Lepisosteus oculatus: one gene and its partner. The protein of the gene in region 1 interacts with the protein of each later gene in a pairwise test. Links are inferred from orthologs where the notes say so. Each region holds a gene or a part of one and is shown on either strand. Other genes may lie near its edges.

Region 1 (7,721 bases):
CCTCCAGCCCCTCGCACAGGTACCCCAGGTCCTGCAGGGAGAGAGGGGGAGCGGGGCTCCGGTCAGGGGGCGCTTCGCAGGGCGACAACAACAACGCACAAGAGGAAGAGAAAAATAACACAGGAATAACACTGGAAGGGAAATAAAGAAGACTCAAGACGATGGCAATGAAAAAAAAGGCCGTGGATAGAGGAGAAAAGGCAGACGTTAATCAAACACATAAGTTCGAGTGCGGAAAAGAGTCCCCCTGTCTCAGTGCAGCAGGGAGCGAGGCGGCTCCAAGCGAGCACCCCGAGACTCTCGTACCCCCATCAGAAGGTGCTCAGCCCCGGGGCAGAGCCCTGCTGGGCTCACAGGGAGCAATGAGAGGGGCCAAGGTGTGTAAAGGCTCTGAAAGATCCAAGTGACATTTTGAAGTGACGCATGGGAATAAACCCTGGTGAGGCGGGGGTAGAAACACTGCCCCTCCAGGGCAGATCCGGGGGGCAGGGGGTGCGAGAGAGAGATCGGCGACGCCCCGTCCTCACCTGGTCCAGCAACGACAGCTCAGGCCGCTCCTCCAGCTTCCTCAGCAAGAAGGAGTTGGGGTGCATCCCCCCAGGAGCCAAATATGGAGTGTACCCCGACAGCAGGTATGACAGACAGATCCCCGATGGGCCGTTCCCTGTAACACACATGTAGGAGAGACACAGGGGAGTTAAGGCCGCGTACGTGGGACAGTCTCTCAGCCCAGCAGAACTGGGACAGTCTTCTTCCCCGAGACAGGGCCGTGGCACAGAATCCGAATGAAGTGTTTTGCCAAATCTGCATAGCTAATCAGCTTTGTGCACAACTGAAGCTGTGTACCAGCTCCTTCCCCAGGAAGAATTTCTCTCAACAAGATACTTATCGCATCTCGGCTAAACAAATTCTTTGGTTCTGCGCCAGTGGAATGTAAACCTGCCTCCAGCAATAAACAAAAGCAAAAGAGAGGCAGTGTGAAAGAAGCCCAGAACACAGCAGCCACAATGCCAGCGCAAAACAGCTCAAAACCTCAAGTTGATCTACTTCACAAAGAAAGCTTTTAATTGCTGTAAAGATTTTATGCATGGGATCAATTGGCACATAATTTAAACTGATGTATAGAGCCTCCACAGATACCAGGATACTCTATCCCATTTCAGTCCAGAAGTTTCCAAAACTGGTCTATTCTAAAGGAATCCCACTACACAAAGCAAGGACACCTGAGCGGCGAGGTCTCAGGGGAGAGACAGGTGGGAGCTGGACTGCGTAGCACAGGTGAGGCTAGGAAGGTGCACTGGCCCCGTCTTACCGATGATGACCACAGGGAGCACTTCAGAGGGGACAACGTGGCCGTCCAGGAGGGCCGCCGTCTCTGCCGAGGGTCTGGAACAGAACCGAGACGCAGTGGGTCAGCACACGGCCCTCACCGACGCAGACACAGAGCTCCGAGACTCGCGCGCAGGAGAGACACCTTCCCAGGGGGCACCCCGCACCAGTGCCGGCACCGTGAACCGGGCACAGGGCTGGAGCCTGTCGAACCGAGGCCCAGGGCTTCTGCCACGCACCAGGCCAGGCGGGGGGGACAAGCCATGACATCATCTGGAGTTCAACACCCCCTCTCCTGCACTGCGCACACCACGCCCCCCAGGGTCACCTGGGAAAGAGGGCGGGCCTGTGAGGCAGGGGGCAGCGGCCGAGGGCATCCCCAGCGACCCCCAGTCTGTGGGCAGGAGTCCCTCCCAGCCTCTCGGTTACATGACACACACACACCCTCTTCCCTGCACGTGCCCACACATGCCGAGTAACTGTGACTCGGCACAAAGTTCAGAGTGAAAGCACAACAGCGCCGCGCCTCCAGAGTTCATCACGGAGCCGCCCGGCGAGCCGAGATTGAGCTGGGCTGTCGGGAAGGCTGAAGGCTCAGCTCGAGGCAACAGAGGGATCTGGGGAACAGCCGAGGGGCGGCCGTCCTGTATCCCGATTCCCTCTCCGACACGCACAGCCAGAGCCCAGCTCCTCAGGGCAGCACGTCTGCCCCATCCACAGCCTGCTCACCATCCTGCATGCGATCCTTCCATTCCCGAGAAGTGCTGCAGAGCAGTAGGGGCAGATAAAACTCCTCCAGTGGGTAAGAACAAACCACAGCTCTGAACCTGCCCCCCGGTTCTCAGGGTGAGACCTGAGACCTCTGCCAGGCCCGCCAAGAACAAAAAGCCTTTTCAAAGTCCAAAGCACAAAAAAAAAAGTGATACACCAATGACCCAGATCTCTCTTCAGAGCAGCTCTGCGGTCCAGGGGGTGCTCTGAGGTGGGCCTGGACGGGGCAGACTCGCCGGGCTCGGGAGAGATGTACACACCAGCTGCTCTGGGTCTGAAGCCCAGGCAGGGGAAGACCGTGCACAGGTGACAGCGGCCTACAGCTCTTTCAGCTCCCTCCCCCTGAAGCCCTTTTACTACTGCAAAAAAAAAACCCAAACACGGGGGAGTTTCTCCTCGACGCTCACGTTTCATACGGCAGGCTACAGGACGTGACCGGGTCACAGGGCTGATAGACACAACTCGACACTCGGAGATTAAGGGGGCAGCTCCGAGCCGGCCATCGTGGGGCTGTCGGTGCGTGTCGTAACAGCACGGGTCAGTGAGGGCGACCGCTCCTCCGTGGACACTTCTCCCGGAGCAGCAGGCAGACACAAAGGCCGGCGCCTCGTCAGCCCTGCCGACCCACCAGACCTGCGTGCTGAACTGGCACGATGGCGGAGTCGCCAGCAAGACGGCGGCCCCCCCGGCCGGCTCCTGACCGGCTCCGGCCCACGCCGCGCAGAGCGCCCCCCACTCCCGAGCCGCGCGGGCCCGGCCGGGGGTCTCGTTGCACACAAACACGCCTCTCCACGCGAGCTGTAACATTCAGAAGACCTTCAGTGGGCTCACGGAGGCGGATGTGATTCCGAGCACGGTTTTATTTCGAACAAACGTCTACCATTTCACCGCGGGCATGGGGCTTCTTACTGGCCAGCCCGGCGGGCAGACGGGCAGAGACAGATAACGGGACTGGATCCGCCGACAAAGGTGAAAGTTAATCGCTTCTCGGCGGCAGAACGAGAGGAGAAGCGGCAGCGCAAAGCGCACGTCTCTCTTCGCCGACCACAGGGGAACATCGCTCAACTCCGGCCGCCGTCTTTTGGCAGCGAACGACACAAAAAAATCTAGCCAGGAGGAAGGACGTTGCACGCAAATAGAAAAAAATAAAAGCGTAAATAGCGAAGGAAATAAACGGATTGAGTTACACTGTATTACTCACCGCATCATTATTAACTTCGAACACGGGATGAATCCGGTCGGAATTCCGTCTCGGCGCTTTCACAGGTTAAAAGCCAGAGGGCCGACTCCCACACCCACCCGCGACAGCGGCGTGTCTGCAAAGCCCTGCACTCTCCTCCCCACGCGCAGCACCCGGCTCGGGCTCTAGGTCACAGGGGGTGGGGCCGTCTTCTCCTGACGTCATTCCTCCCCTCCCCTGGCCAATCAGAGCCCCTTGCCCCGGAACGCCGCGCCTTCTCATTGGTCCGTGTGAAGGTGACGTAATGGCCCAAGCTTGTATAACATACCGTATCTTTTTCTAGAAGGTGCAGCTGCGCTTGCCGTGTTAATGTATTTAATTTATTCATTAGGCAGACTTTTTTTTTATATACGAGGTGTCACTAACTGACTGTTACAGGGTTACATGAGAGTATTTCATCACGGAGAATTAGGGAATGCAAAAAATTTTTTAAAATTTAAAATATTGCAAATTAAAGCCGTTGCAGAACTTACCGACTCCAGTCTCTGTAAGAACCAACTGTGACAATCATTCTCCAGATGAACAGTTTCCTTCAGGCAGTTTTATTTAGCAGGCAGCCGCGCTCCTATGGCCTGGCATTGAAGACTAGGTTAATGGTCTAAGTCAAGTTGCTTTGGACCAGAATTTCTAAACCGGTGCCCCAGTGTGGAGACCAGAGACACTGTGCTCCCTGACTGCGCCCTAAATTCAGTCCTCTGCTTTAGTTCTGATCATTATTTTCATAATCTTGCATGCAATAAAAAAATATGTCTTGGTTCAGTTTCCTCACCCTGTTAAGGGGCAGGTGTCTGATTAGCAATTTCCCAGGATGGGGTTTTTCCACTGCCTCTGTGAGACTGCTGGGGTACACCCGACACGATTTCTGAGGGTTCGCATGTTCCTTTTACTACACCTCCGTCGGCTTTGGCATTTTCTCTGTGGTGTTGAACACACGTCTGGAGCCTTTAAAGAAATGTGCAGGTATATGCTCAGTATTTTTATTTTTACCCTGATTTTACTGTGACAGCACACACATTACTGTGGTATACCACAGGAAACTGCGGCGTGGCAGCTGTTACATCACCGGCGGCCGTTGTCCCAGGCTGCTCTCTCCGCACGGCCGCGTGTCCAGGGGTGCAGTGCTGCTTACGCACGGCGACACCCCGTTCCCCCAGCTGGGTCAGCGGGCAGGGGCGCTGCGAGAGCCGGGCCGGCCCGTGACGTCCCCCCGGGCAGTTCCGGAGACCGCGACACACCAAGCCGTTTGGAGAACTCGGGCAGTTATCCTAGAAGATAATTCTAGGTCCCGCACACAGAAAGATGTGTAATTCCATCCGCAGGCAGCAAACGGTTCTGCTTGCTTGAAGCCTAATCACCCCCTCCCCTCCCTCATGGCTGGAAGTCACAGGGGACCCAGGCCCTGTCACTTAGTAACAGCCCTTCACCATGGCAACTGCGGAATAGTCTGGTTGCCTTGTCTCCAGGGGGGTGTGGCTACCACAAGGACACCTGGGCAAGGTGTCGAGGGCTTTAGAAATAAGAACCTTCTAGTTACTGTAGTCAGGCGCTGCACCCAACTGCTAATCGGAAATATATTCAAATGGGCCCTTATTCGCCTAAGGCCTTAATCTTTTTCATTTCTATTGATTTTGTGCAAACTGCTTTGGCTTGACTGGTGAGTTACAGTGTGGCCAAAGCATATACATTCACTACAACAACTACAAATCACCAAATGGGTGTCAGGGCAGGTTCCACATGGCTGCGGTGGAGATCAAGCAGAACCAGCAGATCAAGCCGTGTCCAGGTGCTGATGACATGGTGTCCCTGAGCCTGTATCTGCTCTAACGCCCCTCCCGAGGCACTCTGGGGAACAGGTGTGCTGCTTTCCCCTCGGCCGGCGAGTGACTTTGTGCTCCACACAACCACTGTCTCCCTCTGACCCCTCTCAGAAGAAGAGGCCGGCCCAGCAGAGCAGGCATGTCCCTGCATTGCTGTAAGGTGACAGGTGGCCACAGGGCTGGTTCTCATGCTCCTGTGTTTGATCTCCTGCAGACAAGGACAGAGCTGGACTCCAAGATGCAAGACTCAGGGTCACGTTTGTCCAGTGGAGAAGATTTACTGTAAAGACCTGTAGCAGAACTCGGGTGACCCAGTCGAGGTTTGGTGCTCTATAACTACTATTATTCTGTCTCTATCCCTCAGATTTGCTTTTCTGTTTGGTCACTTTGGTTGTGGAGTTTGTCCCCACAGTCCTCGGGACTCAGCCCTCGCTGCGCACTTACAAGTCTCATGCTGCCTAGTCAGGAGCCCAGCCATGCAGAGTTCAAAGAGAAAGATAACAAGATGCTTTAACAAAGACGTGAACACAAAGGAAGGAAGTCAGCTTGAGGCTCAATGTTTATAGAGTTCATCCGGCCGGATTTGAATCTACATGCAATCCTTCTGAAGCCGGCATTGTGCTAACAGTCACGCAAGTAACTACCGATCCGTAGTCCTGACAGGACGGTGCTTTGTTCTGGGCAGTAAGTACCAGGAGCTAGTGGATGCGCTGCAGTAAAGCTGCAGGAGAAGCAGTTGTTCTTACAAGTAGGCACTGTGGGCAACAGGGCGCTAAATGAAAAAATTGCTAAGGTTACGATATTGCTAAGAGTAAACATTCACCTCAGTGCTTTGAAATATCTAACAAAAGGCCTGCTGAGAGGAAATCGTACAAAAAGAACTGGAAGAGAAATATTTTGAAGCTCAACGCTTTGATGTTTTAGATCCTGAAAAAGAGGAAAACTACCCACAGCTCTGGGGGGTGTGGGGAATATCGGCTCACTCAGGGCACCCTGTTCCACAAAGGTGAAATGAAAAGAAACATTTATACAGGTTTATCTAAAATGGCAATTAAGTGTTACACAACACTAGTGTTGACCAGCACAGGGGGAGATGATCTGCGAGGTGGTTGTGTTTGCTGGTTGGCTCTGGGGCAGGGGGCAGAGGGATCAAGGTGCATCTCACTAGTGTCCAGGGGGAGGAGCACCAACCTGCTTCAGCACTGAGAGTGAATAGCCAGGCACTGGTTTTGAAGATCACAGCTGTTGATTGATGCATCAGTTTTATTTTCTACAGACTGTTACAATGACAGGCACAAGGTCAGTTTTTATTTGCACAGTCAGGGCAGAGTTTCTCTGCGTCTACAATCCTCCAGTCTGGCACGAAATCCTAAATGTCTTCACACCTGGGAACAAGTCCAGCCTGAGGAGTCACACCCACCCCCTCCAGACCTAGAGATCTGCTGACTGGGGCACTCAAGCTGTGAAGCAGTAGAGGCGAAGGGCAGTTCCAGAACAGTGTTAAAACATAGTGGGATCATGCATGCGCTGAATGATCCTGCAAGACAGCACAGCCCGTGTGTGTTACAGCAGTTTCCATTAAGATCAAAGTGACTTAAACAGTGGCAATGCAACATTACAGTTTGCTATCCCCGAAGAATGCACTGGTTTCCAGCAGGGGGGGTGGGGGGTGGGGCATCTCTCTCTCTCTCCTCACTCACCATCAGCTGCTACTCTGTGAACTCCATCGGTTCATGGCAGTTCAAATCCCAGCTGCTACGTGCAGATCCCCCAAGCTCCTACACTTTCACACACTGCTGCACTGGCTGGGGTATCTCCACCCCTCACTGTTGAGCCCAGAGCAGTAAGAGCTGCCTGCCAGGAACTGACAGGAGTTTTCCTGATGCAGCTCAGCTTCACTTCCCTAAAGAGGAGTGTTTTAATCCATCCTACCTGTGTTTTTACTTGTTATGTGTGTAACGTGTGTGCTACTGTATGGCACATTGAAACTCTAAAAGTTAATGGAAATAAAATTAGAAGGCTGCAGAATCCGGTAGTTAATCTGCAATACGTATGCCCTTGCAATTTACTAAGTAGAATGTATGGTTTCTAGAGGGGCACACATAGACCCACACCGCTCATTACAGCAGTGCAGTGGATACGTGCCAAGGCATGAGGGGCACAACAGTCAGTGGCACTTCAGGATGCTAATGTGCACCAGCGAGGGTGGTATCGTGCATCAAAGTGAGTGCCAATGTGCACCAACAAGAGTGCATTGTTTAGCATTCCTCTTGTTACCAGTTTATTATCCTCTCTAAGATAGAACCAGCAGGCTGCAAGGTCACCCATCCGCTAAAAATAACTCTACATGCTATCTAGGACAGTTTGCCTCACATAAAGCAGTTATTATTCTCTCTACACGAGCACAGCCCTACAGAGGCAGCAGCAAGACAGAGCTGCCAATGGACTGGGCTGATTTCAAGTGAGGGCACTGCAAAGTCTTTGTAGCACAGTGATATTAACTTGATTAATAGGTTTTCAAAATCTTTATGCATGTTTTAGCTCTTCTTTTCGAAACCTAACCC
Region 2 (7,808 bases), on another chromosome or scaffold:
GGTTTTTAATATTCTAGTGATTTAAGCACTGTTAAACAGAAAACATATTTTAATAGTAAGCATGCAGATTAAAAAAAGTCTATTCAATTATGACATTTGTGATTCAGACATTATGCCATATGTGAGCCAGAAATGGCACTAAATAATGAAACTGAGTAGCTTTGGAAACTAGAGAAGAATTTTTCATTCTGTAATTACAGAAATTTCATGATTTTCTCCAAGGAAGGGAATCAAAGAAAGATATCTTGCAAATTTCCTCTCAAAATCACTATGATTTTGAATTAACTCGAATTCCCCTTGGCACTGAGCCTGTTGAATATAGCTTAAGCAGAACAAGTAGAGGCTCACTGTGTTATTAAAACTGCATGAGTTGAAAAATGTGTTTCTGTTTGTACATCCTAAAGAAACAGAGAACCCAAATGTCCCATCTAAATCAGGGCAAGATGCATTAAAATGGTTTCTTCCAGAGTTACCTATGGCTGTAATTTATACTTAAAGTGTCCTATTGATTGCTTAATGGAAAATAGGATGTTTAATGGAATTCTAGCGTTAATGTTTTCAAGACAGTTTCAAACAACTTCATGCATTTAGGCTAATATGTTACTTAAAACAATCTTCTACTTCATTCAATCTTCTACAATGTTCCAAAAGATTTGAGTGCAGGATTCTAATGAGTTTTTGAGTAGTTATTGTTATCCTGGATAGTGATAGTTTATACTTTATAATTCTGAAAAGTTATACTAGAATTGAAATGTAAAATCAATGTTTGTTAAGACAATTTTGAATGTCTTTGAGGGTGTTGTGTCAATAAAACTTGTATCGCTTATTACATTTTACTTTTTTACTGTTTTCTTCTTGTATTCATTACAACATCCTGAATTCACATAACAAAGCAGCAACAGCTGCATGCATTGAACAGCTGTCCAAGCACTGTGCCTTTTTTTTCTAATTCAAAATTTGACAAATTTTCATCCCATTGTCGAACATCTCTGATAGCATGTCAGTATATATGATGTTTGCCTTTTGGATTTCCAGTCCCTTTGATGCAATTGCAGATGAACACTTCACTCAGGAGAAGGTCAAACCCTAATCTCACCCACTTCTTGTAACGAACAGTTCTTTCCGGACCCTATGCGGACGACACAGTCCGACGGAGTGGGGAAACACTAGGGAAACGTCATGCAGGAAAACGGGGCTGAAGACAAGGGGGCGTGTCCAAAGTGCGCTGGTGCACGGGGGAGGTATGGCCGAGGCGAACAATCCGAGAGTAATCCATAGAGTATCCAAAACACGAAGGTAAGTCCAAAACCAGAAGATCCATCAGAACACGGAATTAAAAACCACGAAGGCCGGGTCGGAACCGGCGGACAGGGGACAAGGAACAGGGGTTAAAACCTTAACGGGACCAGGCGCTTCCTGGTCCCGGACTCGCACGATATGGAAATCAGATGCAGAGCCCGGAAGAGCGTCAGCGCCTGGCTTTTAAGGTAGGCAGGGAATAGGGCGCAGGTGCATGGAATAAAGTCTAGAGTGATAGGGCTGGAGCACCCTTAAGGAGGGGGAACTAATATCGTGACACTTCTACCTGTTTATAAGCATCATGCTTTTTCTCTACTCACTCACTTTTCTCAACCCTTCCTACATCCCATCTTTACCCCTGAAGCAGCTCCCTGTCTTATTCCTCATTAAAGAAGGAAGAGGTTCCAACTGATAGGTTGTTGTTAACCTCAGCCAGGGGAGTAACCCCAACAGAAATCTAGATACCACTTATCCTCCTTAATTAGGGTTTGACCAAACAACTTAATTCAGATTTCCATAAGATTTGAGTGCAGGGTTCTAATGAGGATGCTTTCTTTGTTAAACAAGTAATAATCAAGCATGACTTTTTGAAATCACTTGTCATCTTTTAAAATTCCTTATCTTGTTCAGTTGCGCCATGACACTCTGAACAACTAGAAAATCACACAGCAGTTTGATTAGCTACTCTGATAAGAATCCCACAAAGCTTAAAACGTCACATAGTGCGAAATATCTTCATTTTCAGGTTTTCTCTAGAAAAGAGTACATCTATACTAAGTATATCCAAGACCACAGAGAATGAAAATGAAGTCTCCTTGGCTTTTGTGAAATACATCCTGTCTTGCTTTGAAGCATGCCACCAGGCTTGCAGCCCTCTCCATGTGTGAGTGATGAAAAAAACCACATTAAAGGCACATGGTGAAGTGCAGCCATGTGACTCGTTAATAGAGTAAGTGCTCAGGTCCCTGCCTCATACTAAAAAACTGTGCCCAAAACGTTAATTACTTCACCGCACACGCAGGAATTCTTGTGTTTATGGTTGCAGAAAGAAACTTGCAACCCTGCTATTTGTAATCCAAAAGCACGGGAATCCCTGGAAAAGTAGTGGCTCCTGCAAACTCTTATGCACCACACGGAGGGTGCATAGCACAACATAATTGAGGCGTTGGTCCTGTTTCGAGATCACAGATGTGGGCACTGCCAACATTGCCAATCACTGCAAGTGATACCACTGCTCGGCTTCTCAGATCGTGGATGCCACTGGGGCTCATAAGTAGCAATTGCAGGTACTGTAGGAGCAGGTGAAAGAGAAGGGTAAGCCTCAGCTTTCTCCAAGAGAAGATGCCTCTGCTGTAGTTAATAGGAAAATATTCTACTGTATTTTCATTGAGTATGTTTAAAGACCTCATGGAGCAGTTCTTTTTCATATCGTGATTGGAACAGTGGTAAACTGAATGTCACATTTACTAATTATGGTCCATGGCTTGCAGATTATACTTGAACCTCCCCTCTGCATCCTGGTGTTGCCTTAAGATGAAGCTCGCAAAGTGGTTGTGTGAAATAAATACACCCCAATTCTTTACAGCTAGTTTAAGACAAGTGCAGCAGGAATGTAATCAACCACACTGTCAGTTTATCATAAACAGTTTTGCTTTGTGTGTTAAATTGTTTATCTATAGGAAAGCACTGAAACCTTCATGAATAATCTTATATTGACTAGAAATCTGCTGGAATTTGCTTTTTTACTGCTGCTCCTATAAACTAAGGTATACAGCACAATTTAGGCAGCAGGTTGGTTCTGGATTAGAAATGGTCATGCAAACTCGCAAATTTGAAAAAGAGACATAGTATGATAGGATGAAGAAAACTTACCCTGTTTGTTGCGAAAGAAGTTTAGTGTTTGCCTCTTTCTTTCCCTTTCCAGCAAAGTCTGTATGAAACAAGAAACAATACAAAGAACTTCATAAGTGCACAGTGTTCAGTAAATTCCCCACGTTAGTCCATCGGACCCTCTGAATTTGTGTCGTGGAGACTGACTGGCTGTCAAGGGAAAGCCTCCCAGCAGCCGCAGTGGCTGTAGGATCCCAGTGGGCAGAAGACACACCTTGAGACGTGCTCTTCACCAATCAAGAAGGGGAAGGGCGGGGGGGGGGCAGCTCTGCCTCCTCCTCGCTCCGCTCTGTCAGGAGAAAAACACTCCACACACTCTGCTTCTTCAGCCCCCCTCCTCTTGGGGAGTGCTGCAACTTGCTCCCGGACTCCGCACATTCCTCTCATACTGCTGCCAACCTGCCGCTGCAGCAGCTGGGATGTGTTAAACGAGGCAGTCAATTTTTATAACCAAGGTCATGGGCTTTATCTCCAAGCAAACTCCAGACCTCGCCCTCCCCTTGAACTAAGCCGCTGTAAGACTCTTCCTTTCATTAACGCTGCAAGGATAACAAGGAAAAGAAAATTAGCGTTGGAAAAAAATGCTGTATCTACAGCCTCTAAGCCCAGTTCTGAGGAAATTAATTGGAATCAGGTCATTTAGAGGGGATTTCAGGGCTGCTGGCTGCCCCACCACGGAGTTTGAAAAATAGATTGTCTCTTCTGTTAACCCTTTGGCTGAGTGATTTTTCATTTTCTTAAATGTTTTTTTTCTGAGTAAATCTGACTGCTTTCTACATTGACCAATGAGCATGAATGTGCTGGAATTAATCAAGGTCCAATAGTTGGGTTACATCTGCTCTCCGTTGAAGTTGATCGCTTCTAGGAGTATTTTCCGTGTGTTTCCACTCCTATAGGAACTGTAGTGTTCATTCCCTGCACCAGGAAGAACATGGTCCTAGGAAAAGTGTGCATAGTCATTACTGTTGGTTCAAGTGGGGTGGCAGGAAGGTAAGTTGATTAACATTTAGATTACACATTATGTAAAGAAAACAATGGGCGGTTCAATTTTTTAAAAAATGTTGTTTTATAGCACACTCCCCAATAGCTCACTATGTTTCAATCATGAAACAGTGGAAAACGTAATCTTGGAATCTGAACTAGATTCTACCTTCACCTCTTCTGACCCAAAGTCCTCCTTCATACCAGAAGATGCGATTTTGCAACACTACAGACTCTTAGATAATTGAACTCTTTCCAAGGAAAATAGTCAAAGATAACCAGGTCTTATTTTTTAGCTGCTGTTAAGAGCTGTGGGTAAGAGATGATCTTGGATTATTCTTTCCTTTTGTTTCTTGACAGACTCCATTTCGCATGATTCTTCAAGCACTGTGGTCAGGCTTTCTCCAGAAGTTAATGTAAGAGCCACTTAAGAGACTTTTTTGCAAATCATCTGTCTTATTGTCTTCTGAGGGAAATGTTTTTTTAAAGCATAGAAAGCTACTTTGAAATGCTGTAAGTTATATATGATAATATGTGAAAAGAGGCAGTCCACACATAACATTGATAAATTGTACATTGAGCACGTATGGTGTATTATATTTAATCAAGTGAGGGGGGAAAAGACTGCACTTTGAAAAAAATATTTATCAATATATTAATGAGATGATTTATTTGTTTTAATTTTCACATTTACTCCTTTTTAGTGCAGACTTTAACCAGAAAGCCAGGACACTGCTAAATACCTGTTCAGCTCCAAACACATCCCCAGTGTGGAGTTATTCTCTTACCATACCTGGAACCCTGTTCGTTTCCAATTTCTATTTTTTCAACGCCTGGAGGAAAGAGCTCTCACACACACCTCTTTTCCCCATTAGAGAGATCAGTGACATCTCTTTTATTTTTTTAGTTTTATTTTTTTGTGCAGGAATAATGGAAGCCAACAAGTACTGAAAGATAACACAAAAATGCTTAAAGGGAATTAAACATCAATCATTTAATAGGTTAATGGTGAGGTTATACTTGGAACATTTGAGACAAAACAGTAAGCTGATTTATTTTGTGCTGTCTGACTACCATGCAGCTTACTAAAGGTATCTCATTTTGCATTTGGATAGCTTTAAAGAGAGCAGGGAAAGCATCTTCTTAATACATATCAAGCAAGAAACTGAAGTTTAATTAAATGCATGTTTTATGATGCTTAGCTTACTGTGTTTGGCCTTTCATCTCTCTGCCTTAGTGACTTGCCATGGGGACCAGCAGGGAGCTGGAGAGGAGGAGGTGAACCAACCCATAAATTGGGAATAAACCAGTTTATTCTAAAAAAAATACTTTTCATTTTCTCTTCACTGGGTGCAGTTGTTTTCTACCTACTGCCTAGAGTCATGTGTAGAGAAATAACTCTGGCACAAGTGCCGTGCTTTGTTAGTTTACAGTATACTACGGCAGTGCTATATGCCTGTACCAACAAAGTGTATTTACAAGGATAAAAGGTGAGTGGAAGGGCACATTAATTTGAAGTTTTTTCCTTTCATTAGCTTTTTTTTAATGGAGTTTGTAACAGAAAATCGGGAGGAAGAAAATCTTGCACTCTTAGGTTTGCCAATGGATATACGTCACACATCTCTTACTTCTCCTGCCACCCCACCTACACCCCTACAGTAACTCCCTGCCTTGGCCCACACACTTTCAGATAGGAATTAAGCTGCTTCAAAATTGAATAAGAAGAAAGAATTCTTATTCTTTCCTCTTATTCAATTAATAAGCCTACAGGGAGGCCTACAGGGAGGAGGTCAATCTCCTTACAACATGGTGTGATGACAACAACCTCACCCTCAACGTCAGCAAAACCAAGAAGCTGATTGTTGATTTCAGGAAACTGCAAACCGGACATGCCCCTATCCACATCAACGGGACTGAAATGGAAAGGGTCAGTAACTTTAAATTCCTTGGTGTCCATATCACCGAGGACCTCACATGGTCTCTCAACACCACCTGTCCGATCAAGAAAGCGCAACAGATGCACTACAGAAAGCACACTGACAGGCTGCATCACAGTGTGGTATGGCAACTGCAGTGCTGCTGACCGCAAAGCCCTACAGCGGGTGGTGAAAACTGCCCAGTCCATCACTGGGGTTACCCTCCCATCTATCCAGGACATTTATGACAGACGGTGCTTGAGGAAAGCTCTAAGCATAATCAAAGACCCCACACACCCCAGCTACAGACTTTATGATCTGCTACCATCTGGAAAACGGTACCTGAGCATTCGGGCCCGGACTACCAGACTCAGAGACAGTTTTTACCCCCGCACTATCAAACTGTTAAATTCCCAGCCTCTCTCACTCTCACCTCACCTCTCACCTATGATCTGAACCTCACAGTGCCTTCTTCCTTCCTTTCTTTCTTACCAAAAACCCAAACACACATTGAAAATCTTCCTCTACCATACATGTCAAAAGCTCACTCCCCATAATTTCTATCCCTTTATTTTATTCTGTTGATGCATATGAACTTGAACTTGAACTTGAACTTTATTGCCATATGTAACCGGTACTGGTACAATGGAATTCTTACTTACAGAAAGTCTCTCGTTTGTAAAACAAGTGTAAAAAACAAAACAAAGTGCAAAGAGTGCATCAAGACAATGTACAAACAAACAATAGACAATGTGCAAGTAAACATGCAGACAGTCTGAATGTAAGTAAACATGCAAACAGTTTGAATGTAAGTAAACATGCAGACATTTTTGCACATAACCTGTTACCTTTTTGTTGTTTTGCACATTGCCTGTTGTTTTTTGCACATTGCCTGTTGTTGGTTTTTTGCACATCGTCTGTTGTTGTTTTTTGCACACTGGCTGTTGTCTCTGTCTTTATTTTGCTACACAATTGTATTGTTGTTGTTGTTGTTGTTTTTTCTCTTTGTACTACTTATGTCCGAGAGCTACCTAAATAGCATTTCGTTATACCATAAACTATGTATATAAGTGTAATGACAATAAACTTGAAACTTGAAACTTGAAAACTTGAGAATGTAGTGGTTTGGAGATTCTTAATAGATAAGATACTGGCAAATTGGATGCATACTGTTCTTTTTTTACAAGATCAGCTTTTTTCTTTGGCAGAGAGTTTCTGATTTCCCGTTTGATCTTGGAAGTCAGTGTGAGACAGCTACTTGCAGGGATGAGTCAGTCCTTTGAAAGACAGCTGCCTGCTTTGCTTTCCAGTAGTGTGTGATTGCAATTATAAATATTTACTAGTCCATTCGGTAATTTGTAACAGCAGCTGACGACAAACCTGGTTCTAGACATAATGACGGAGAGCAGGCATGACGATTGTGTTAATGTGTGCAGGAGTGTCTATTTAAAGAAGCACAATAGGGCTTCTGAAATGTACAACAAGACCGCTATTGTCTCTAACATATTTTTGTTTACAGGAGTGGGTGATCAAGAGCGCCCACAGGGTTCTGGGGTGCATAAGGATCTTAAGGTTACAGATGCACAGTCTAAAAGGACCACTATCAGACCCTCTTCTTTAAGTGTAGACTTGGGAAGTGCTGCTTTTTAAGAACTAAAAGCTTGGGTCATGCCAAGTGTCAGCTCTGACTAGGAGTCCATGAGGGGCACTACACAACTTGCA

The links. The genes of interacting proteins can lie anywhere in the genome.
Region 2: the proteins of osgn1 (region 1) and bcar3 interact in binary tests that used the Homo sapiens proteins (3 or more experiments, as listed by UniProt). The link is inferred for Lepisosteus oculatus from reciprocal best matches to the Homo sapiens genes OSGIN1 and BCAR3.

What each region holds. Positions count from the first base shown.
Region 1 is NC_090711.1:1,159,141-1,166,861, reverse strand, and holds the start of osgn1 (oxidative stress induced growth inhibitor 1), read right to left. Parts: upstream 3,485-7,721; 5' UTR 3,310-3,484; coding exon 3,302-3,309; intron 1,387-3,301; coding exon 1,313-1,386; intron 665-1,312; coding exon 528-664; intron 32-527; coding exon 1-31. UniProt on the Homo sapiens protein: Monooxygenase catalytic activity. Involved in regulation of cytokinesis; promotes RHOA activity, probably acting locally at the midbody in late cytokinesis.
Region 2 is NC_090704.1:27,726,417-27,734,224, reverse strand, and holds the start of bcar3 (breast cancer anti-estrogen resistance protein 3), read right to left. Parts: upstream 3,421-7,808; 5' UTR 3,404-3,420; intron 3,230-3,403; 5' UTR 3,172-3,229; intron 1-3,171. UniProt on the Homo sapiens protein: Acts as an adapter protein downstream of several growth factor receptors to promote cell proliferation, migration, and redistribution of actin fibers.